Mus musculus: one gene and its partner. The protein of the gene in region 2 interacts with the protein of the main gene of each other region in a pairwise test. Links are inferred from orthologs where the notes say so. Each region holds a gene or a part of one and is shown on either strand. Other genes may lie near its edges.

What was found.
Region 1: the proteins of Bysl (region 2) and Stx11 interact in binary tests that used the Homo sapiens proteins (3 or more experiments, as listed by UniProt). The two-hybrid records come from large-scale screens. The link is inferred for Mus musculus from reciprocal best matches to the Homo sapiens genes BYSL and STX11.

Annotation. Positions count from the first base shown.
Region 1 is NC_000076.6:12,939,590-12,944,489, reverse strand, and holds the end of Stx11 (syntaxin-11), read left to right. Parts: intron 1-203; 5' UTR 204-338; intron 339-763; exon of another isoform or gene 764-982; intron 983-2,506; 5' UTR 2,507-2,511; coding exon 2,512-3,375; 3' UTR 3,376-4,507; downstream 4,508-4,900. UniProt on the Homo sapiens protein: SNARE that acts to regulate protein transport between late endosomes and the trans-Golgi network.
Region 2 is NC_000083.6:47,604,103-47,609,002, reverse strand, and holds part of Bysl (bystin), read left to right. Parts: intron 1-2,001; coding exon 2,002-2,164; intron 2,165-4,609; coding exon 4,610-4,748; intron 4,749-4,900. UniProt on the Homo sapiens protein: Required for processing of 20S pre-rRNA precursor and biogenesis of 40S ribosomal subunits. May be required for trophinin-dependent regulation of cell adhesion during implantation of human embryos.

The DNA of each region.
Region 1 (4,900 bases), on a different chromosome or scaffold from region 2:
CCTGTGCTGTCAGTAAGGTACTGGGAAAGTTCCCTTGAAACACCTGCCCGAAGGTCTGAACATTTCCTCTGCCCTTCTCATCTCTGTACAGAGGAGAGACTTGTGCCTTCAAATGATCTTAGGTCTTTACTGATGGAGGAGGACCTATGGTGTCAGGGTGTTAGATCCCAGAAACAAATGACTCCTTAAATGTTTTCTGGTAGCTCCTCCTAGGTGCTTTGGACGCTGCTTTGCTCTTCGCGCGGAGAATGAGGTGTCTTCACACACAGCTCCTTTACAGCTCTGGGGAAGCAGTAGAGAGCGTAGAACCGGTCTACAGGCAGAGTCCTAGAAGCCTGGTACGTCAATCCTTTCCATTTGCCAATTACCTTCCAATCAAAGTGCTTTGCAAGGCTTTGAGCAAGATGCAAGGAAAACATCTACCTTTCATTCTTGCTGTGTTCATCAAAATGCATCCATTTCATTAATCTGGGAGAACAGAATCCACTGAACACTAACTTAAGCAGATGAAGGTGGCAGCCACCCAAGTGTACTTCCTTGGCAAACAGAATGTCATCCTCGTAGTCATACATAGATGATAACATTAATTACAAAATCTGTACAGATCTCACAGAATTATGGAAACACATAGCAAAAGCAAGTATTAGCAACGGTTGCCTGTTATCCAATAACTCTAGGAAAATCGTTATTCAACATTTTGATGCATCTTGCTCACATCTGATTCAGACAATCATGTGGGGCTGCTGCAATTCTTTCTCTGTAGCTCTCTTTCCTACCTGAGAGAGCATGCGGGATCTTCATGTCATTAGATGGCCTTCTAGACGCTGTGACCGTTGTAGCTTTTTGTGCATTGACGTCATTCCTGGATCTCTGCCGATGTACTAGAACTCCCAGGGTCCAGCTGCTCATCCTGCCTCAGCGTCCCCAGCAGCTCAAACCACAGCTACGCACCTTTGCAACGGACTTCAGTGTCCAAGTTTTGGTTTGTAACACCGTACTACAGTTGCCTTTATTTTGTTGTTATTTTGCTTCAAAGCATTTGTTCGTGTGCCTGTGTGTTCCTGTGCCTGTGTGCCTGTGTGGGAGTATATGAGTATATATGAGTATATGTATATGTATGTGTATGTGTATGTGTATGTGTATGTGTATGTGTATGTGTATGTGTATGTGTATATGTATATGTATACACACACACACACACACACACATATATATATATGAGTGTATACATGTCTTCCTCAGTCACTCTCCACCTTTTTTTTTTTTTTTTTGAGACAGAGTCTATTGCTGAAGCTAGAGCTCCCTGGTTTTGTGAGACTGGCTGACCTCCTGTCTGTGTAACCCCAGGGCTGGGATCACCCGTGTACCCTGCCACATCTGGCTTATAATAACAGGTGCTTAGGGATCAGGGTTCTGCGAGCCATCTCCTCAGCAGCCTTACAGCATTTGCTTTATTCCTTTGTTCGTTTATTTGCTTATTTACTTTGACACAGCATCCCTGGCTAGTATGGAACTTACTATGTAAACCAGGCTTGCCTCAAGTTTACAAAAATCTGCCAGTCTTTGCCTTTGGACCAAAGGCACATACCACCATGCTCAGCTCTTGATAAAGGGGTTTTTCCTTTCATCTTTTGTTAGTTTCGTGTGTGTGTGTGTGTGTGTGTGTGTGTGTGTGTGTGTGTGTCTGTCTGTCTGTCTGTCTGTCTGTCTGTCTGTCTGTCTTTGGGTATGTGCACGTGAGTGCAGGTGACCATGATGCCCAGAAGAAGGTATTGGATCACCTGGAGTCACAGGCAGTTGTGAGTGCTCGCTGAAGCTAACACTCCCTGATTTGGTTAGACTGGCTGGTTAGTGCGGCACACATGAGTGCTCAGAACTAAACAGATCCTCAGCAAGAGCAGAACCTCATCTTAAGTGCCCTAGCCCTAGCCCCAGGCCTGTAAGAACTCATTGTGTAGACCAGGCTAGCCTCCAACTTACTGATAGCCACCTGCCTGTGCCTCTGTAGTACTGAGATTAAAGGTTTGGCCACCACATAGGCTAAAAGTTGTACTAAGTACAAGAGAATATATTTACTAGTGACAATTGGCCACAAAATACAGAGCATTTAATGTCTTTTTCAAAGTCTTGTAAGCTGCCTTTATTGAAAAGTTTACAAACCTTTTTGAGTTTTTTTCCTTGTGTCTGTGTGCCTAATTTCATGGTGGAGAAACAAAAAGCAAACAAAAGAAATTGTTTCCCAAAGCAATCTAAAAGTTTAAATTGCTGATTGAATTGGGGGTGCCCGTGATATTGAACTGCAGACGTGTAGAGGCTGTGAAACATAACTAAGGGTCTGAGTCACGGTATTTCTTTACTTCTAAATAAAATGTCACAGGGCATTTTGCCGCTTTAATGCCCACACGGAAAAGGAATTAAGAGCAAGCTCCTTACATTGAGCTTCAACCCCTCTGAATGCACAGATCTGACCATCATTAAAGGATCCTAACTGCTGTTTCTTTTGTAGGCAAAATGAAGGATCGGCTTGCAGAGCTTCAAGAATTGTCCAGGAGCTATGACCAGCAATTCCCAGATGGGGACAATGACTTTGACGCTCCTCGGGAGGACATAGTGTTCGAGACCGACCACATCCTGGAGTCCTTGTACAGGGTCATCCAGGACATCCAGGATGAAAACCAGCTGCTTCTGATAGACGTGAGGCGCCTGGGGAGGCAGAACGTCCGCTTCCTCACGTCCATGCGGCGCCTCAGCAGCATTAAGCGCGACACCAACTCCATCGCCAAGGCCATCAAGACCCGAGGCGAAGGCATCCACCAGAAGCTGCGCTCCATGAAGGAGCTGAGCGAGCAGGCCGAGGCCCGGCACGGCGCGCACTCGGCGGTGGCTCGCATCTCACACGCGCAGTACAGCGCGCTGGCCCGCGCTTTCCAGCAAGCCATGTACGAGTACAACCAGGCCGAGATGAAACAGCGCGACAACTGCAAGATCCGCATCCAGCGGCAGCTGGAGATCATGGGCAAGGACATGTCGGGCGAGCAGATTGAGGACATGTTCGAGCAGGGCAAGTGGGATGTATTCTCCGAGAACCTGCTGGCCGACTTGAAGGGCGCGCGGGCTGCGCTCAACGAGATCGAGAGCCGCCACCGCGAGCTCCTGCGCCTGGAGGGTCGCATTCGCGATGTGCACGAGCTCTTCCTACAGATGGCCGTGCTAGTGGAGAAGCAGGAGGACACGCTGAACGTCATCGAGCTTAACGTGCAGAAGACCCTCGATTACACGGGCGAGGCCAAGGCGCAGGTGCGCAAGGCGGTGCAGTACAAGAAGAAGAACCCCTGCAGGACCATCTGCTGCTTCTGTTGTCCCTGTGTCAACTAGCCGCTGGCTTGAGTCTCCACTGCACGTGCCATGTGGGAAACATGTCCAGGATGCCCAGCCAAAGGCATCTTGCACTGGGCCGAGGGAGAGGGTCCCAATACCTTGCAGAATTCAGAGCATAGAGAAAGTGGGGGTTGGGATGCAAGATTTGGAGTCCGGCACCTGCTGCCTTCAAGGAATAGTTGTTAATATCCAATGGCTACTTAATGTAGACAGATTTCCACTGGCGTTGTGTGATGTCATTATAAAATACATAGCACTCAGCATCACGGGGAGGAACTAAGGTCATTTGCTAAGATGTGTGTCTTGAAAGGAGGAAGCCAAGAGAACAGGATGCTAATAGTATGAGTACATTATCAAAAGTTGCCTTTGTTTATCCTCTCTGGAAAGTTCCTTGGTGCTATATGGTTTTGAATGACATTCACTTCAGTATTCATTACGTCTGTTCATTTTCGTGGAACTTTGACCTTGGGTAAATTGGCTGCCATTCACTTCTGATTATTTATGTTGTGTGAGCCCTGCGTGAACTCCTTCCCTTGGCTCGCTCCCACTACACAGTAACCCTCACTGGACACTGGCTCCTTACCTCTCTCACCTTTTATATCGTCCACCAGCTTATATATGAATATTTTTAAAGCACCAAATATTGAACAAGCACTCAAGTTGAGCTTTATATTGGTCACATTTTATGGATTTTTCACAGATAACATTTATTTAAAATTTATCTTTGTACTTCATTTCATATGAATATGGGTGTAATTGTAAACTAATCTCCATTCCTATGTGTACATTAATGGCCAATTAGATTGACTTTGCTTTTGGAAATTCTGTATATAAACAACAAGAGCAGTTTTTGCTGTGTGCCATTGTTTGATGATCCTGAGTGTATTTCATGCCTGTCTGCACAGTCCAGTTTGGGTCTAACTTTATTTTGAACAACTGTGTGCTGTCATTAATAAAGAGAAGCGAGGAAGATTGGAAACTTGTGAAGCAGCTAGAGATGCTAAAGTGAGGTTCTTGGGGATAGTAATCTACCTTACTCCGAGCCATTCCTTTCTCCATTAAAGCAGAGAGACTTCAAGTAAAATCTTGTTTTTCAAATAAGTTTAATAAATATGAAGTTATAACTGTCTCTCTTTTTATATTTCTCTCTTGACCCACTGAACCTAAATTGATTGTCTTTTCCGATTATTGTTAAACTATCTCCCACCTAACTATAATGTCTGCATGGAACTCTAAACAAAGTTTTTACAGTCATTTAGAAATTGCTGAGGTTTTAAAGATTTGCTTTCACTTGAAGATGTTGGAAACCATGTTCCAGACTGTAGTTACCACGCCTGTGTGTGCCTTCTGAATCCACTCTCAGCTGCTGGTTTTTAACACGCCAGTGATTTCAGTGGAAAGTCCTATAGCCTGAGTTTATAAGAAGACAAAAGAAGAGCAGGAACTCTCTGGGGCCCGTTGATCTGCTTATGAGAGAGAAGACCCAGCCTTCGCAGTTTTTCTTTGTGCAGTCCGATATGAA
Region 2 (4,900 bases):
GTTTCTGAGCTACAGTGTAGAAGACAGATCTCTTGGGCCTACTGGGCAACCAGTCTAGCCTAATCAGCTATCCCCAGGTCCCAGTCAAATCCTGTTTCAAAAACAAGGTCATCAGCTCCCAAGAGTCACTTCCATGATGCAGGGTTCACTCATATACAAAAAGCAAATGATCACAACAACAAAACACCACACAAATGTCAGTGACTGTCTCCTGATTTTCTCTCTTTTCCCTACGTCGTATTTCATAGCTCTTGTCTTCCTTTGTTTAACATGTATTTTGTGTGCATGTGCGTGGCATGATGTGTGTAGAGAACAGAGGAAAACTCTCAAGAGTTGGTCCTCAGCTCTTCAGAACACTTGTTCTTGCAGAAAACCCAAGTTTGGTTTCTGGCATTCATATGGCAGGCTATAGCTGTCTGTAACTCCATTTGCAAGGGATCAAATGCCATCTTCTGATGTCATTAGACACCAGGCACACTTGTGCACAGACATACGTGCAGTCAGCACTCAAACATTAAAAGTAAAATAAACCTAAAACAAACAACCTTGGCTCTCACTGGGTATGCTCTGTGTACTCTCTGGAGCTCTATATAATATACCCTTAGTCCACTTCCATAGCAACTGATCTGTTGCTATGGTAATAATTCAACTACTTTGGTTTATTAGACTCTTTCCCAACTGCCTTGCCAGCTATGTGCGGTATTTCAAAAGTCAGCCCGGTGTATTGGCACATGACTTTAATCCCAGCACTCAGGAAGTACCCAGCCAAGACTCCATGGTCAGGACCTCAGGATGTGGCAGGAATGGCTCAACCCACCTATCACCCAAGTGAGGACACAGAGACCTCTTATTAGTTATGAAAGCTTGGCCTTAGCTGCCTTGTTCCGAACTCGCTGATACAACATAATTGCTTTATACTAGTCTACATTCAACCACGGGGCTCGTTACTGCTCTTCAGTAACAGCACGTGTTTCTTCCTCTGTGTCTGGCTGTTGAGTCCCCTCACATCTGATTTCTTTCCCAGAGTTCCTATCTCTGCCCAGAAGTCCCGCCTATCCTTTCCAGCCCTGCTATGGGCCACTCAGCTTTTGATTAAACCAATCAGAAGGTGATGGAGAAGAAGTTTCCACAACACTGAGACAGGTGATGCTTCATTAAAAAAAAAAACCAATGCCGACTGTACTCAGCTCTCTGCTGGAACAAAGATTAACATGTGAATAGTACACAGGCAGCCTTTACATGGAACACACGGGATTAACCCAACATCAGAAGCTCAGCCTTCAGCACTGTGGTGCGTGTTTGGAAAGTGGAGGCGCGAGAACAAGGAACTCCCAAGTCATCCTCGACTACCTAAGCCAGTAACTTAAATGTGTTGGTTGATCAGAGTCCGAATGCCACTGCCCAGCCTTAGAGCCTTCCAGGTTGGCTTTCCGTTTCCTTTCTGGCTCCTTAGTGCCCAACACTCTAACAGCATTACTTTCCAGGACGTGGAGCATGCTCTTGCTCCCAGACTGCCCATCCAGAGCCTCCTCAGCCTCTGTACTCATCCAAGTGCCTGAGGTGCACACTGCCTCCACCATGGTTTTAGTTTCAGCACATGATGCAGTTCCACTGTGCAAGCAACATAGTGGGAAGTCAGGACCCACAGTGCCTACCTACTGTGGGCACATCAACTCTTCTGCCCCGGTTTGAACTGGGTATAGCAACAGTACCTATTCCTTGAGGTCATCTGGACAGACCAGGTTACATGTGTGTAGTATAGAATGGATCCTTCTTGGTCATTGAGGGGGGACATGTCATCCATTCACTGAGGGGACATGTCATCCAGTCTTTACTGGCCTTATCATCTCTCGCTTCGTGTGCTGTATTTTCTATCAAGATTCCAAGTCTCTGGGGACAAAAGGATAGTCCCTCTGCAGGTGTCCCTCCTGCTCCCTGGGTGTGCTGTACGTGGAATGGGGAACTGACTCACAAGCCCCTGCGGCTGGGATTATCTTGTAGGGCCGGGATTGCCACAGGATGGATCAGATGAGGAGGATGAGGAGTGGCCTACCCTGGAGAAGGCAGCCAAAATGGCCGGGGTGGACCACCAGGCAGAGGTGATCGTGGACCCTGAAGATGAGCGTGCCATTGAAATGTTCATGAACAAGAATCCTCCCGTGAGGTAAGGCTTAAAGGTTGGACCAGTGGGTCCTGGTAGAAAGTTCATCCAGACCACAGCTGTTGGTCTGACCATTGCCAAGAGTGGCCCCTGAACGGGAGTGACCCGGATTCCCCTTTGCCCATCTGATCTGGAACCTCTGGATTACCGGTTCCTTGTGATAGCTGGGGATCCGTTTAGTAGTGTTTATTCTTGGTACGTTACTCTCATAGCTTAGTCTTATTTTTTTTTAAGATTAATTTATTTATGTATGTGAGTACACTGTAGCTGTACAAATGGTTATGAGCCATCATATGGTTGTTGGGAATTGAATTTTAGGACTTCTACTCATTCTGGCCAACCCCACTCGCTCTGGCCCAAAGATTTATTTACTATACATAAGTACACTGTAGCTGGCTTCAGACGCACCAGAAGAGGGCACCAAATCTCATTACGGGTGGGTGTGAGCCACCATGTGGCTGCTGGGATTTGAACCCAGCATCTTCGGAAGAGCAGTCAGTGCTCTTACCTGCTGAGCCATCTCGCCAGCCCATAGCTTAGTCTTTAACTCAGGGTTTTCCATCTCAGTTACAGTGTTGGGGCCAATAGCAGCTATCTCTGACAAAATGTTCCCAGAGGGGTTAAAACTACCTCTGGGTAGAACCACAAACGTACCCCCATGTGTTATAAATGCTACTTCTAAACATGCAGTTATTTAGGCTGCCTGTGGTCAGATTCTTGGTTCCATTCAGATGGATCTGGCCTCATTGAGAGGACTGGGCTTAGGGCAAAGGGGCTCAACCAGTTTATTCTTCAGAGTGGGGTGTAGTACACCACTATCATTAATAGTACGGTGATGAGCAGCTTGGGTTCAGAGAACACAGGAGAACCCTGTCCCCTGAAGGTGTCTGACAGCTCTGAGAATGGTCATGGGGTGTGATGTGCCCCCCAAAGGCTCTCGGGCAGCACCTCATACCCAGTGGCTCTTGATCTGACAAACTTAGCAGAATGTTTTCTGCAGTTGCTATACGGAAGTGACAACATGGTGGAAAGGGGGACCGTGGGCACTCTTGAGCAGTGGCTGCTGGCATCTTCAGAAACCAGGCTAAGGGTCTTTGGGAACACAGCAATCAGGCCTTGTCACTTAAGGCACATTGAAGACGCTGCGAAGCACCCAAACTAGAAGTCGAAAGACTAAAATTTACCCTTTCCCTGAGAAAGTCTTAGGGCTTAGGAGAGTTGTTGGTTGGCCCTGAGTCTCGATTCCCCGGCCTGGGCAGTGCGGGGGAATAAAAGCACCTGCCACCAGTGTCATGCAGACCACAGGACACAAGTCTGGAAAGTGTCAGATTCAGTGCTGCTCGGCACAGAAAAAGACTGCAGAGAAACTTTTTCCCCTTGTGCTGGAAGCCAGAACCCAGGTCTCATCCTTGCTAGGCAAGTGCTGGGTGAGTAGGATAGGCTGGCCTTGAACTCACAAAACTCTGCCTGCCGCTGCCTTCTGAGCGCTGGGATGAAAGGTGTGCACCAGCGCTGCCTGGCACAGAGCTCCACTCTGCACTCAGAAGTTGCTCCCCGTTGTGTGAGCAGTGGGAGGTGAGCTTGAAGTAAACAGCCCTCAGGACCTGCTGGCTCTGGCTGAGAGTCGGGCCTGCTGCAGTCTTAGATTTTACCCTTCAGCTGACTGTCCAGGGGGGTCCTTTTACTTCCCCAGTTTACAGATGAGGAAACTGAGGCTTAGAGGAGTCAAGTGACGGGCCCAGGATCATACAAGGACCAGAAGAGCCGGAGCTGACTTCAGGGCCTAAGGGCCTAACGTCCCCACCACTCTGGCTCTGCGTCAGATGCAGAGACATCCAGGGCCCGTGCTCTGCAGCACTTTGAGGCGGCTAAATGGACATAGAGGGGAACTGAGGCTGTGCATCCCAGCGGGATCGAGATTTGTCAGCGTCCAGGGGAATTATACATTGCTCGCTTCCAGCTTCCCGTACACTAAAATTAGAACAGTGACAGGGACGTGGCCCCCATGCAAGGAGGACATGCAAGTTTGTGAAGCATTCTTGTTTTGTTTGGGGATGTTTTGTGACTTTCTTTTTCCCCTCTGAGACGGGGCTTGCTGTCTGGCCTAGATCTCCCTATGAAGACCATGCTGACCTTTCAACTCACAAAGATCTGCCTGCCTCCCAAGTGTTGGGATTAAAGGCTTACACCACCACTACTGCCTTTCTTTTTTAATAAACAGAGCCAGGCATACCATTAATCCCAGCACAAAGGAGGCAGAAACAAGTGGATCTCTGAGTCTGAGGTCAGCCTTGTCTACAGAGCCAGTTCTAAGACAGGCAAAGCTAGACATAAAACCCCTGTGTCAAATAACAACAACAAAGATAAAAAACAGGTTGAGGGGACGTTACAGTTTCATGGAAAGTGACCCCAATTCTTTCCACCTCTCTTTTTCCCGTGTCTCCATAGGCGCACCCTGGCTGATATCATCATGGAGAAGTTGACGGAGAAGCAGACAGAGGTGGAGACTGTCATGTCAGAGGTATCGGGCTTCCCTATGCCTCAGCTGGATCCCCGGGTCCTGGAAGTTTACCGAGGAGTCCGGGAGGTAAGAGCTAAGTGGTGTGTGTGCTGGGATATCCTGACTCGGGGTGGGCTCTCATCCATGGCCCCCACCAAATAAGCCATGGCGATCAGAACAGGATTGGGGGAGAGCTGATAGGCTCAGGTTCTTGCACTGTCTCTTATTGACCCTGGAAG